Astyanax mexicanus: one gene and its partner. The protein of the gene in region 2 purifies or fractionates together with the protein of the main gene of each other region. This does not show direct contact. Links are inferred from orthologs where the notes say so. Each region holds a gene or a part of one and is shown on either strand. Other genes may lie near its edges.

Region 1 (7,514 bases), on a different chromosome or scaffold from region 2:
CACAGATAAATGACAAAAAATTTTATATTCGATATTATGAATTTTGAGATCGTTTGACACCAATATCTATCGCGATCAAAATATATTTGATATATTGCACAGCCCTATAGTGTAGGACTTACACTTGACATATTAATACTGAATTCACCACAGTTGTGCTTATATGGAGCATTTTACTACCGCTCAAAACGCAGTCAATCAGATTTGACAGCCATAAAAAAATGCGGTAATGACGGTAATGAGCTCATCACCGCGGTGACGTCCCATAACCGCGGTATTGCGGTAATAAAATTATCGTCACAGCCCTAGGCAATACAGTACAAATATTTTATTTTATTAATTATAGTGAGAGTGCCAGTTCAAGTGCCACTATGGGTGAGAGTACCAGTGAGTGCCAGTATGAGTGCCAGTGCCAGTATTAGTGTGAATGAGAGTGCCAGTATGTATATGAGTGCCAGTGCCAGTTTAAGTGAGTAAAAGTGGCAGTATTAATGTAAGTGAGAGTGCAAGTGTCAGTGTGAGTGAGAATGCGAGTGCCAGTATGAGTGTGTGAGAGTGCCAGTATGAGTGAGAGTGCCAGTGCAAGTGCCAGCAAGAACATGAAAGAATATGAGTGGCAATATAAATGTGAGTTAAAATGCCAAAGTGAGTGCGAGTGCCAGTATGAGTGTAATAGTGCCAGGGCGAGTGCCAATGGGAGTGCAAAAGTGCCAGTATAAATGTGAGTGAGAGTGCCAGTATGAGTGTGGGTGAGAGTGCCAGTATGAGTTCAAGTGCCAGTGTGAGTTCAAGTGCCAGTAGAAATGCGAGTGCCAGTGCGAGTGCCTGTGTGTCTGACCTGAGGAGGATGCAGTTCTCCAGCATGCCTCTCTTTCGGCTCTCGTACAGCAGACGCTTTCTCTTGATGTCCAGAGACTCGTCTTTTCTCTCCTGCCACGGCGGCAGGGGGATCTCTATCAGATTAGGTTCTGGAGCATCACCCCGGTACCCCCGGGTCACCACTGCTGCTGTGACAGGAGACCGAAGGGACGTCCGGCAAACAGCACAGAGCATCTGAAAACGATCAACATCAGTACTGTTCTACAGGATTACTGTAGTGAGAATGTGATTACCGTCAGTAAAAATTGAATGTTCAATATTTAACTCAAATCTATGGTTACATTTATTTTAATTTAAGTCAGAAAGTTTCATTTAATGCACTCTCAAAATCACATCTGTTCTTCGGTGATGATTCTTGAAACGTTACATGCTGCAGCGTCTCAAAACGCACACCCCAACAATTCAATCACTGCAGTTTACTGTATTAATGCTGTAATGTTGGTACTCTATGTAAGGCATTATACCTTTTACTGTTCTACCAGAATCATTTGCCTGTTTTTTAATGTATCAGAGTTACAGAACAATACATTGTGCCCTAATGTTTTCCTGCTTCAGCCTTGTAGTCCTTGTTACGATGCTTGCCAAACTCCCATACAGGGAGACACAAAGACACCGGGTAGTGCAATTGAGTAGTGGATGGAGGTACCATGCTGACATAGAAGTTCATTCAAACTGTGATTTATTTACATGCAGTGAAAAATACAAAACACAAAGACTGAATAAAGAAAACCAAACTTTTCTGGAGTCCCACTGTCTGAAACATTTAATGTTTTCCAAGTGACCAACACAGCTGATCAAACTAACATTGCATTACTGAGGTAATGATGTTTAAAAACAGGAAAAGCATTGATTGAAGCAAGATGTGCAGAGCAGTGGGCTCCCAGGACCAGTGCCCGGTTGCTTTAAGTATAAACCTTAAGGAAGAATTTCCCCTTAGCTAAGGGGATCACTTAAGTGTGTTGTATAAAATCCTTCAGACAAGTCACTAATCTAAAGGGAACTGGAAGAGGATTTACTGCAGTAAAGCTCAACTGTAAACATAGCCACTTACTAGCTGTAACAACCCTCTAAAAATTAATTTCATTATTATTTTCAATATGAATACATCCCTCAGAAATAAACATCACCCAGTTATTAATTGAGGTTTGTTGGTCCCGTAAATAATTATATTTGAATAAGCTGTTGATTGACTTTGTTCATCACTTAAGGGATTATTTAGGGGAAATTTGATCATTTAGGAAACATTTAAGGGTTTATGATTATTTCCCTTAAGAAAACACTTTTTTTGTTTGTTTTTTTTCTGCAACACACTGGTCTTTAAAGTGTCGTTTAGGGCAATCTTAAGGGAAACAGTAAACCTGTTTTATGCAACCGGGAACAGGAGCGCTGTTCTTTACTATGCACTTTATGGGTGTTGTAGTTTTTAGCAGGACCGGCTCACCTTCACCCACGTTGAAATGTCTCAATCTGAAAACTACAATTTGGAAATCGCGAAATTAAACCAAAAATGAACTTTATATTAAAGCAGAAAGTGAATGATGTTGACCTTAAACAGTGATACGGGTAGACTGGAATTTCGACTGAAATATTATGATCTAATATGCTTCTAAAAATTAGTCTAAAGAACACAGCTAGAGGACAATTTCACAACAGAGCTAGTGCTAGCTTGCCATGCTAACTGGCTAACACTCGCTACAGTGACCTTAACACGGCTTCCCTTTCAAAACACAGCAGCAGCTAGCTCACTGTGGAGAGTTCAAACACTCTTAATAAAATTAATTTATTTACACTTTACACACAGCTTACTAGTAGCTAACTAGTTAACTAAACTAGCTAACTAGAAGCACCCCAAAAGACAGAGCGCTACACCAGTATCACTTAGCTCTAAACCTACATTACTTAACCTGCACTCATCCCTTTATACTTTACACAAATGTAATGTCACTGATAATGTAATATATGTTAAATTGACTCCCATATAATCCAATATAAAGTACTCACTCTCCTTGTCAGTGCGGAAGAAAACATCGCGAGTGTAAAAGTCAGTAAAATCCAGCTGGCAGGACTCAAACACAACACGCTCGAGTTCAGCACGCGCTATTTCCTTCCCACCCGTTTTCAGGAACGCTCCACCTGCCCTGCGCTTCAATTGGTCAACCAGATCCCGCCATTGTGTTGCGATTGGCTGACTCTTCGCGCTTATAAGCAATTTATCCAATAGTAGCGTAGAAGGGGTGGGGTTTATATAATACAGGTGGGAAAATTAAACGCCAACAGTGTTGACTTTGCTTTGCATGGACAGTTCCAGTTTAATGAAATATTATTAATTATTAAAGATTTTACTCCCAGTTTTATATAAATAGCAACACTTTAAAAATGAATGTATAATGAATTTATTAAAATTTTATTATTTAGCTTGACTCTTTTATTGCAATCTTAATATTATATGCAAAGATCTTTACACAAGTTGCGTTTGTGAGGTAGTTCCAACAGACAACAGCATGGATGTAGAATTATTACATTAATGTTTATAAAAACTAAAGTTAGCAAAAAGAATATAAAAAAATAATAATACTCAAGACATATATCGTACTTATTTTCATTGAAAAACTGTGGGGAAAAAATGTGTTGATAATTTTTAAGTTAAGAATATTTACTAAGTAATGGATTTTCAGGGTAAATAGTCAGAATGAGTTTAAAACGTATTTATTTTTGCTTCATTTTAAAATGCAGTTTATAACATACGATTCATAAACCTAATATGGGATGTTACAGGCCGAAGCGTGAGGTGGAGGAACCTTTACACCGCGGCTGTGTTTCTCTCCGGACTGTGTTTTAGAAGTCACTGATGGCCGAGTGCTGTAGAGATTTATATATTGTTATTATTTATTATTTTGGGAGATTAATGTGTGTGTGTGGATAAAGGAACAGTATAATACTGTATAAAATAATAATTATTATAAAGCGCGCTGAGCTCAGGCTGCGGGGGAAATGTGCTATTTCTGTAGGGAAAGGCGGGAACAGGCGATGTGAGGAGAGTAAACAGAAAACCCAAGTTTCATTACCGCACATTTCACATTAATTCGGATTAATCCTACAAAAAACGGTTTATTAGACCAGAAATCCAGTGCACACCAGCAGAGCCTGCAGGAGGGGGTTATCCTGATGGCAGCAGCAACGGAACCAATCGACATATACGACGAGCTGAAAACGGAGGCGGTAAGATCAGCAGCAGCATGGAGGATTTACCTCAGTTTATCACACGTTATAATCACCTCAAACTCATTACTACACTTTATAATCACCTCAAACACATTACCGCACTTTATAATCACCTCAAACACATTACCACATTTTATTAACAGCTTAAACGCATAACTACGGTTTATAATCACCTCAAACACTTTACCACACTTTATAATCACCTTAAACATTTAACTACGGTTTATAATCACCTTAAACACGGTACTACACTTTATACTCACTTTAAACACATTATTACACTTTATAATCACAGCAAACACATTACCACACTTCATAATCACCTTAAACACTTAACTACAGTTTATAATCACCTTAAACACGGTACTACACTTTATAATCACCTAAAACACATTACTACGCTTTATCACCTCAAACACTGTACTACACTTTATTACCTCAAAAACTTTATTGAAATTTATAATCACTTCAAACACATTACTACACTTTATACTCACTTCAAACACATTATTACACTTTATAATCACAGCAAACACAAAACTACACTTTATAAGCAAACACGTTGGTACACTTTATAATCACCTCAAACACATTACTACACTTTATAATCACCTCAAACACATTACTACACTTTATAATGACCACAGACAAGTTGCTGCAATTTAAAATGACCTCTAATGGGGTGCTGAATGCAGTCAGCTTCTCATCAAAACAATGTTCCAATAGTACAAAAAGTTACAAGAGGAGTGCAGGCTGTTACTGGTGTAAAGCAATCTGAGGAAATGATGATTCTCTGTTAGCTGAAATTAGTTTAAAGACATTACGGTAGGGCTTCCAAATGCTCAAGCAGTCTAAGGTGCTGTCAGTATCATCCAAAAGTGGCAGATCTGGGTCATGGTGCTTCTGCATCAGCAGCCGGAGTCCGTTAGAGAGTACAGTAGGTCATGCTGCTTCTCCATCAGCAGCCAGAGTCAGAGAGAGAGAGTACAGTAGGTCATGCTGCTTCTCCATCAGCAGCCAAAGTCAGAGAGAGAGAGTACAGTAGGTCATGCTGATTATCCATCAGCAGCCAGAGTCAGAGAGAGAGAGTACAGTAGGTCATGCTGATTCTCCATCAGCAGCCAGAGCACACTGGCTACCTGATGATGCTAAATCAGTAACGGTTTAAAAAAAAAGGCGCATTCTAACTTCACATACACAGTGCCATGAAAAAGTATTTGCCCCCTTACAGATCAAACCAAATTTAATATCAGACAAAGATACCATGAGTAAATACAATAAACTTATTTTTTAGAGATGCTTTTATTTGTTAAGGGAATAAATCTATCCAAACAATCCTGGCCCTGTGTGAAAGAGTAATTGCCCCCCATAAATTAACTGTGATAACCACACGCCTAGCGCTACACAATCTGTACTGTACAAACTCTGTATGTCTGTCCTGCAGACTGGTGACATTCTTTCCACGGAAAACGACGCTCTGTATGACGATGTAGTGACCGGTTCTGTAGGCAGCGAGAGGCCGCAGGAAACAGAGACAACTAAGGATGATAACAAGCCGGAAGTAGTTTACACGTACAAAGGCTGTACAGCAGATAAGTCCAAACGGTTCTCAGTCTACGTGGGAAACTTCTCCTGGGTAAGCAGTTAACCATTCGTTCATATAAACTGAAGAGTGTTTTGATATTTTGGAAGCATGTCTAGTTCATGCTGTTTCATATACAGTGAGGAAAATAAGTGTTTGAACACCCTGCGACTTTGAAGTCTAAAATTTATCTTAGGTGCATGTCCACTGTGAGAGACAAAATCTAAAAAAAAAATCCGGAAATCTCAATGTATGATTTTTTTATCATTTATTTTTAATAATGTTACTGCTGCAAATAAGTATTTGAACACCTGCCGATCAGCAAAAATTCTGGCCCTCAGAGACCTGTTAGCCTCCACTCCACTTATTATTCCAAGTTAGAAGCACCTGTTTGAGGTTGTTAGCTGCATAAAGACACCTGTTCTCCCCACACAATCAGTAAGACTCCAACTACTAACATGGCTTAGACCAAAGAGCTGTCCAAAGACACCAGAGACAAAATTGTAGACCTCCACAAGGCTGGAAAGGGCTACGGGGCAATTGCCAAGCAGCTTGGTGAAAAAAGATAAACTGTTGTAGCAATTATTAGAAAATTAAAGTAGAGGCTTAACATGACTGTCATTCTCCCTCGGACTGGGGCTCCATGCTGTGGGTAATGCACTAAGACGCCAAAGTTTAAGGTCATGCATGGCACGGAAGGTTCCCCTGCTTAAATCAGCACAAATCCAGGCCCTTCTTAAGTTTGCCCATGACCATTTGGATGATCCAGAGGAGACATTGGAGAAAGTTCTGTGGTCAGATGAGACCAAAATAAAACTTTTTGGTCTTAAATCCACTCGCTGTGTTTGGAGGACGAAGAATGATGAGTACCATCCCAAAACCACCATCCCTACTGGGAAGCATGGGGGTGGAGGCATCATGCTTTGGGGTGTTTTTCTGCACATGGGATGACAGGGGCCATGTTTTGCGAGATTTTGGGTAACAACCTTGTTCCCTCAGTTAGAGCATTAAAGATAGGTCATGGCTGGACCAGGAATGGACCAGAATCCCTGCTGCAGTGTTTGGTGCAAACCTGGTGAAAAACTACAGGAAACGTTTGACCTCTGTTATTGCAAACAAAGGCTACTGTACCAAATACTAACATGGATTTTTCAGGTGTTTAAATACTTTTTTGCAGCAGTAACAGACAATTAAATTATTTTTAAAAAATCATACACTATGATTTTCTGTTTTTTTTTTTTTTTATTATTATTTTTTTTTTATTTAGTTTCTTACCGTGGACATGCACCTAAGATTAAAATTTCAGACCCCTCCATGATTTCTAAGTGGGAGAACTTGCAAAGTCGCAGGGTGTTCAAATACTTATGTTCCTTATTGTATATATTTCTGTAGAGCTTCCTTTAAGATTAACAAGGTTTATCTCTGTCTGCCCTCTTTTCTGAATCCTACAGTGGACCTCAGACAAAGATCTGGTAAATGTAGCGCGGACACTGGGTGTTAAAGATGTTGTGGATATTAAGTTTGCAGAGAACAGAGCTAACGGTCAGTCTAGAGGGTGAGTTTTCTCTCTTTTTTACTCTTTTGCTCAGTTTATTTCTCTTATCCTTGCTCTCTTTGCTCCCATCACCATAAATTTAAAGCATATTTCTTTGTTATTTCCAGTTTTGCAGAGATTGTGGTGTCCTCAGAGGAGTCTGTGAAACAGTTAATGGACTCAATCCCACACTGTCAGATAAATGGTGAGAAGGTGGAGTGCCGCTACGCGACGCGGCAGAACCTGGCCGTGTTTGAGGCTCAGGCTAGAAAACGTGAGTGCGCAGTTAATAGTGAA
Region 2 (7,113 bases):
TCTATGTAAACGCTTTTCAGTAAAAGGTGAAATAACAGGCAGACTTCAACCTAATGAAAGGCAAAACAAGATATCTGCTGCTGAATGATAAATTAACTGATTATCTGGTTAAAGACTGTTAATAATTAAAGATTTATGACCACAGTAAAGTCTTCCTCAGGACATTGCCCAGACACCACTTCTTGCACATCAGCTGTGTTCTAATGTTACAGTCATGTTAGTCAAAGCCAGATCATAACTTCTCTGTTCACAAAGACTTGTTTCTATTGAAATCTGCACCATTTGCACAGCTAGCACCATAGCAGTGGTACCAGTCGGATAAACTGTACACATATTGCTATTAGCAGCGTGTTAATTTTTATATAGCAAACAGTAGTATCCACGTTAGGTTTGGTAATGGGGATTCAACACCAGGATAGCTCACAGGCCATTTTCCTGGCATGAGTATTGGTTGGTTTCAGTGGATACTGTTGTGAGGGGGTCAGATACTTGCTTGTAGTCCAGTAAATGTTAGGAACTTCAGTGTTCCAGCTTTGGTTTGGGTAAAGATTCTGTATTCAGTGTTGTTAAATGAAAGGTGAATGATATGCAAGTATTTTTTAAAGCAGTCGTGTAAGTGTGTTTTTAATTGTTTTAAATAATTTTGCCAATGCAGAAAAAAGCTAAATTAAATAGTGCAGAACTGCATTTTTTAAGATTCTGTATGTATATTTCGAATACTTTTGATTGATCAGTGTTAAACTACTTATAAAAATAACAGGACAGACCAGTTATTCACTAAATTCAGGTGTTTCATTTACACCCATCGCCACAGGTGTATAAAATCAAGCATTTAGCCTTTCAGTCAGCTTTTGCAAAAATCATGAAAAAATTGGTGATTCTACAAAGTCCACTCAAAGTCAAAATCTCCCAATTTCACCATCAACTGAGAGTAAAATAATAATATAGAGGACTTTTTTTTTTTTTTTTTTTTAGAAAAACACAGCACACCGGTCACAAACCGAAAAAAAAAAAAAAAAAACTACATAAAGTTACAGAGTGATGCCAGGTGCAGAGAGTCACAGTGCATAAATTAGAGCTGCTCAATAAGGGCTGTTTTCCAAACCTGTGCACAGGGAGCTTCATGGCTGTTTTCTTGGCTGAGCAAGCCCTATGTCATTGAAATTAAGCCGAGTATTATATATTTATATAGTAATACTATATTTTCCTTTCAATGGAAAATCTTCATCCAAATTGCAGTGATGAAAACAGCTCCACAGTGTCAGATGGAGTAAAAAACAAGTTTTGTGTAGTGATAAATTAAGATTTTTTTTATCTGGCAGGCTATGGATGAATCTGGGGTTGACTGTGCTGTTCCAACTGTTCCAATGTTTGGTGGAAGAATGGAGAGCTATGGGGTTGTTTTTAGGAATTCAAGTAAGGACTGGGAGGTTAATAAAATTAACCTGATTAATCAAATTACTGTTTGCACTGTGTATAATATAAAAGCTACATTTACTGTTGAAGGGGGCTGCTTACTATTTATAATAATAATAATAATAATAATAATAATAATAATAATAATATATATATATATATATATGTGTGTGTGTGTGTGTATGTGTGTGCGTGTGTGTGTGTATATATATATATATATAGATAGATAGATAGATAGATAGATAGATAGATAGATAGATAGGTAGATAGATAGGTAGATAGATAGGTAGATAGATAAACTTAATGCTTCAGCATTTTAAGATATTTTGGACAACTATTTGCTTTCATCTTTGTGGAAAAAGTTGGGAAAGGTCCTTTTCTGTTCCGGCATGACTGTACCCCTGTGCACACATATTTAGTGGCTGGTCATTTGTTTTTGTTTCTTCCTTTGCATAGTATTGTACAAACATTATGTCTTTATGGGACAGTTTAGCTTGTGCTACATGACACAGTGGTAAATGTATACCCTTAAAAGTGTAACATATGATTAACCATCACTATAAAATGTTACATGTTAATTGTGCAACACATACTAGTTTCTAGTATATTTCAACCCACTCTATCAAACATAAATTAACAATTTGTTCAATGTGTAATTATAATTGTGTTTTAATAATTTTTATTTAGCAACACTTTAAAAGTGGATTTTAGCTGTAGGCATTTGCTTAAGGACTGTTGCAGCACCATGACAAAAGACAATGGAAGTTGACTGCAGGTGGGATTTTATTAAAAGTCTGGTTATTACGAACATAAAGGACAATTTCCGAGTTCTTATCTCTAAAATATATTAAAGCATGAGCACATGAAGGGCGATGGGAATAAGAAACACAAACAACAGCAGCTAACAAGCAACAATAATATCAGAACACAAAGGTTTTCCACTGAGAAGAGTTATACAATAATAACCACCATCATTATAATCATCATCATTAGCACCACCCCCATTAGAATTTAAAAAATAAGCCAGGTTCATGTAGTTAGGTTATTTTCTTTCATTGACCTTCAGTGTCAGAGGTTTACAGATGTAGAGCCCACAGCCAGCTACATTAACTACAATATACAACAACATGTGGTTAACAATAATAAAAGCATATCAAAATAGCTAACTATAGCTGGTATATATGTGTGGAAAAACTGAAGGAAATTTAACTGTTTTCCTGAGATATGACCGATATCCGAACTTTCATAACAGTGTACAGCACGGTTACTTAACGCTAGCTAGTTACGTTACCTAACGCTAGCAGGCTAGGCTAAGCTAGGCTAGCTAGTTTAGCTAGGCTAGTTAGCGGGGTTTGAGAGGCAGTAACAGGGTATATAAACAGCGGTACGCGCTGCTGTATGATAATGCTGTGTAAGAGCATTAAACTCCGAGGCTTTAAGAATTACTTACTGTTTTATACGACAGCACCCTCTTCCCGAGGACACGGTAGGCAGCTAGCGCCGCGGCCATGTTGCTAATGTGTTAATGACAGGTCTGAGTGCTGCCCTTCCTCTGCTGCTGGAGTTACTGCGGGAGTGTCAACCGACTGAAGAGCTGAACCGCCACCCACTGTACTGGAGCCAGAGCTCAGCCTGACGCAGTTTTAAATCATACAACAGCAGCGCTGTCTCTGAACTGCGACACGACTGACTTTCACCACTATTTAACTGTAAAATATTATAAGTTTATTAAACGGTCGACACACTTACTCAGTGTTTACTGTAACACATCGGAAAAACAGAGCACACCAACAGCAGCAGAGAGAGGAAAGCCTTTCTTATTTTATGTAGGTTATTTAATGCGTTGTTTCTTAGATTCTCTGGAGTAGCCTTGACATCCTTAACCTCAAGTCCACTGACTGCTCATTTTTCTTGAAGAAGAGTGATACATTATGTTATGAAAAGAAAGATAGTATGTCTTACGACAGTTCTTATATTTTCTTTTTCTAAATGAGAAGTTAAATAAAAAAAATGCTGTATATAGTATAAATACACAGGGCACAGTGTGTATAATAATTTTGAGTGTATAATAAAGTTGAGAGTTTAATATAAAACATTATTACATTATTTTTAATTGTGACTGGGGATATATTTTTTTTTTGTTTATCTATACATAGTAGATAAACTGAGCATTTTAAAACGTGTGTATTTGATTGGCTGCCCTGCTGTGTAAACATTAGCATTATTGGTTCATTATTAGCATTACATACTTACTATATATATCATTCAGATTTTTTTAAATCATCTGAGGTTTAGTTTTAGTTAAGGGTTTTTCTGTGTTCAGAATCGTACAAATATATTCTCAGTAACAAAATAAAAGAACTGATATATAAAATCTTGCATATATGCTACCCAGTTAATGTTATTTTGTTTGTTTTTCTTTTTTTCAATTGAACACTTTTTATTTTTGGATTGTTCTTTTTTTAGACTTGAAAGAAGCTCATCTTCCACCTCCCATCCTCACCATGCTCTATAGTGGGGCTGTAGGAAGCATCCTGAGCACCTGCATTACCGTCTGGTTTTTGGAACTGCAACATCTCGAATTGCAAGACCCCACAGCAGAAAGTGAGGACAGCTGAGAAGATATTCAGAGTCTCTCTCCCCTCCATCACCAACATCTACACCACACAGTGCAACTGCAAAGCCACCAGCATTGCGGACGACCCCACCCATCCCTCACACGGACTCTTCGCTCTGATGCCTTCCAGCAGAAGATACAGGAACATCCGAGCCTCCAATATTAGACTCTGCAACAGCTTCTTTCATCAGACCATCAGACCCCTCAACACACAGATACAGAGCTGACCCCCCCCCCCATCACCACACAACTGAACTGAACCCTCCCCTTAGCACACAGAGACTGAGATGTCTCTATCCCTATCAGCAATATTTGCTTCATTCTATAGAAGTATAACTCTCTACCTCAGTAACTGCTGTGAACATGTTTGTTTTATATGTTAAAGTATGTTAAATATCCCTACACCTTTTTATCACTATACACATTTCATTGTACCGTAACTGCACTGTCCTGTCTGTTCAATTGTTCAATCACTTTTGCACTTTATGTTTGCATTGTTGTCCAATGTTGAACTGTGTTGGTTCCAGAGGACACTGGTCACTGTGTAATCAGATGTAATGATAATAAAAGACTCTTGACTATATATTGGATATTTTGATAACCCTTTATTTTACCACAAGGACGGCTTTATAGTAGATTTTATAATAATTGTAGGTAATTTTTTATATGCACAAAACGAAATTCGCAAAACAGATACCCTTATTCCATATAACATTTGTTTATTCTGTGTTTTGGATTGTCTGTTGTGAAAAGAAATTCACTCTCCAGTTCAGAGGAGGCAGTGCTGCACCTTAAACTGGTTAACGGCAGAATGAGGCAGTAGAAGAAGAAACCGGAAACTGAATCTGGTCAACTTTCGCTGTGTTTCCTGTTTACGGGCGGGAAGGGAGAACAGACCTGAATCTGTGTTCTGGCTGCATAGTCTGGTTTAGTCTGTATATTCACAGGTTTAGCCTGATTTCTGCGGTTTAAAGCAGCCTGTGTATCGGGGGGAGATCGGTGCAGGGCGCTAGAGAAGCATGGAGGAGCCCGCGGACTCTGGTGGAGGCAGTGGAGCGCTGCTGAGTGAGATCCGCTGGCCCGCGGGAGAGCGCTGCATGCGGCTGCTGGAGTGGAAGGTGAAGCCCGGAGCTCTGGTTAATGTGGACTCTGTTATCGCAGTATGTGGAGCTTCAGCCGCGGACAAGAAGTCCGGAGCGCAGGAGCGGGACCGGCCGAACAAACCGACCGTCCCCGAGAAGAAGCTGAAGTCGGACCGAGCCGGAGTTGTGAGAGAACTTTGCTGTCAGCTCGGGCAGGACCTATCCGCCGGGTAAGCTGCTGATTAAAGAGCAGAGAGGCGCTGTAACACATTAACATCACTACATTCACCCAGATCAGATCAGTTCATCACCACAGTCAGAGTCACTTATAGTTACAGCAGGTTACTGTCTGCATGTGGTAATTTGGGCACATGAGCTGCTAACAGCAACTTGAGCTTAAGAAGAGCTTTTCAAAATAAAAGTCCTGAGGGCACCTGTTACACAAGGGGCTAATATTTGCCAACAGTTTAAGAAGATTAAATAAAAATAAAACTTATACAGCATGAAGGTACAAACATTGCTAACTTCTGCCTTGCTCCAAAACACATTGTTTTCATAATTAGGTAAACAATTTTACCCGGCGCATGAAAATGAACTAACTAAGTTACAGCACTAACACTAAAAAAGTAGGATTGAGGCTATGATGGTAATGCAGTGGATACAGCGATAGGTAAAATAATGGTATTTCCAAATAATGACAGTATTTCAAAACTGATATGTATGTTGACAAATTTCTGCTACAGGTAATTTTGTTTACTTTATTTTATCTACAGTATTTAGCCTGCACTACACTGTTACTTTACAAAACATTAAAATAATTACCCTTATTGTTACCCTTATTGTGTTCTCTATTTATATGTGATCCACTAAGTTCCAGCCTTCAGTATGAATATACTAATACAGTTCAGTGAAAACAATTGTATATGTATATGATTTATATAAGACATTTGTTTTTATTTCATCTTTTGGTTTCACATATGTCCATAATTAGTCACAGTTTTAAACCCTGTCTTTTAAAGTAACAGGTTAAATAATTAATTTACGTATAATATACATATAGAGACCACTTAAAAATAAGTTTCTTGGATTTCACCAAGCTGAAAATAACCAAGCTGATCTGCTTGAATTTATGAATGCCATGAAGTTATCCAAAAGCAGTGTGTAAGACTGGTGGAGGAGAACATGCCAAGATGCATAAAAACTGTAATGAAAAACCAAGGTTATTCAACCAAAGTATTGATGTATTTTACACAACATCCATATGTTAAAACCAACCACATATGCAAAATCTCTAAACTACTTTGCATTTTATTATCTGGTTGTGATTCAGTCCAAAGAAGTACAACGAATGTTGCATGATCCATATGTGTTTAAATAGTTTGAGTTTTAGAGGGATGACATTCAACAGATATCAAAGTAAAAACACAACCAATGTTCTTTATCCTGTGCCGAACACTCTTGTCACTTTGGATGCAATTCCTTTAGCTTTTCAAATGTTGCTGCAGTACTGTGTTTGGGTTTGTGTGTGGTTAAGGATGTTTATTAGATCTGCAGTGTACCGATATTTACTTCACTGTACTGAGCTGAATTGTGTACCGTGTAGAGGGGTATCTGGTTTGTGGTGTTAATAGTCTTTAATTCACTTCTTTTGTAAGACACAATAGTTTTATCCATTTAACAAATATTGCAGTTTAAGTCAGATATGGTTAAGAAAACACCACACCTAGCTAAAATTACTAATGGGGCAGACACACAGCGTTCAGTGCTGTCTTAATTAGTCTCTGCAGCCTTGCATAAGCTCTGCAGTTTCATCTAGTGGTTATACAAGGTAATTGAGGAGCCCGCACAATGAGTCCCACAGAGATATGCTGTAATCTATTCTCTTGTTTATGGGACTGTGCATATCAAAGCATGACAAATACACACACACACACACACACACACCTCTACAAGTCAAGTTTGTTTTGCAAGTGGACACCCATGTACTGGGGGACCCTA

The links. Proteins that work in one complex are often made in the same cells at the same time.
Region 1: the proteins of sdha (region 2) and sdhaf2 purify together in Homo sapiens (co-immunoprecipitation; 3 studies listed by BioGRID and IntAct, counting the BioPlex papers as one, with this or other methods). This does not show direct contact. The link is inferred for Astyanax mexicanus from reciprocal best matches to the Homo sapiens genes SDHA and SDHAF2.

What each region holds. Positions count from the first base shown.
Region 1 is NC_064423.1:8,988,547-8,996,060, forward strand, and holds the start of sdhaf2 (succinate dehydrogenase assembly factor 2, mitochondrial), read right to left. Parts: upstream 3,005-7,514; 5' UTR 2,908-3,004; coding exon 2,881-2,907; intron 1,054-2,880; coding exon 839-1,053; intron 1-838. Other genes in the region: cleavage and polyadenylation specificity factor subunit 7, read left to right, coding at 4,045-4,098, 5,546-5,737, 7,135-7,238, 7,346-7,491.
Region 2 is NC_064410.1:21,966,117-21,973,229, reverse strand, and holds the start of sdha (succinate dehydrogenase [ubiquinone] flavoprotein subunit, mitochondrial), read right to left. Parts: upstream 3,025-7,113; 5' UTR 2,927-3,024; coding exon 2,867-2,926; intron 1-2,866. Other genes in the region: ctdp1 (RNA polymerase II subunit A C-terminal domain phosphatase), read left to right, coding at 5,053-5,345. UniProt on the Homo sapiens protein: Flavoprotein (FP) subunit of succinate dehydrogenase (SDH) that is involved in complex II of the mitochondrial electron transport chain and is responsible for transferring electrons from succinate to ubiquinone (coenzyme Q).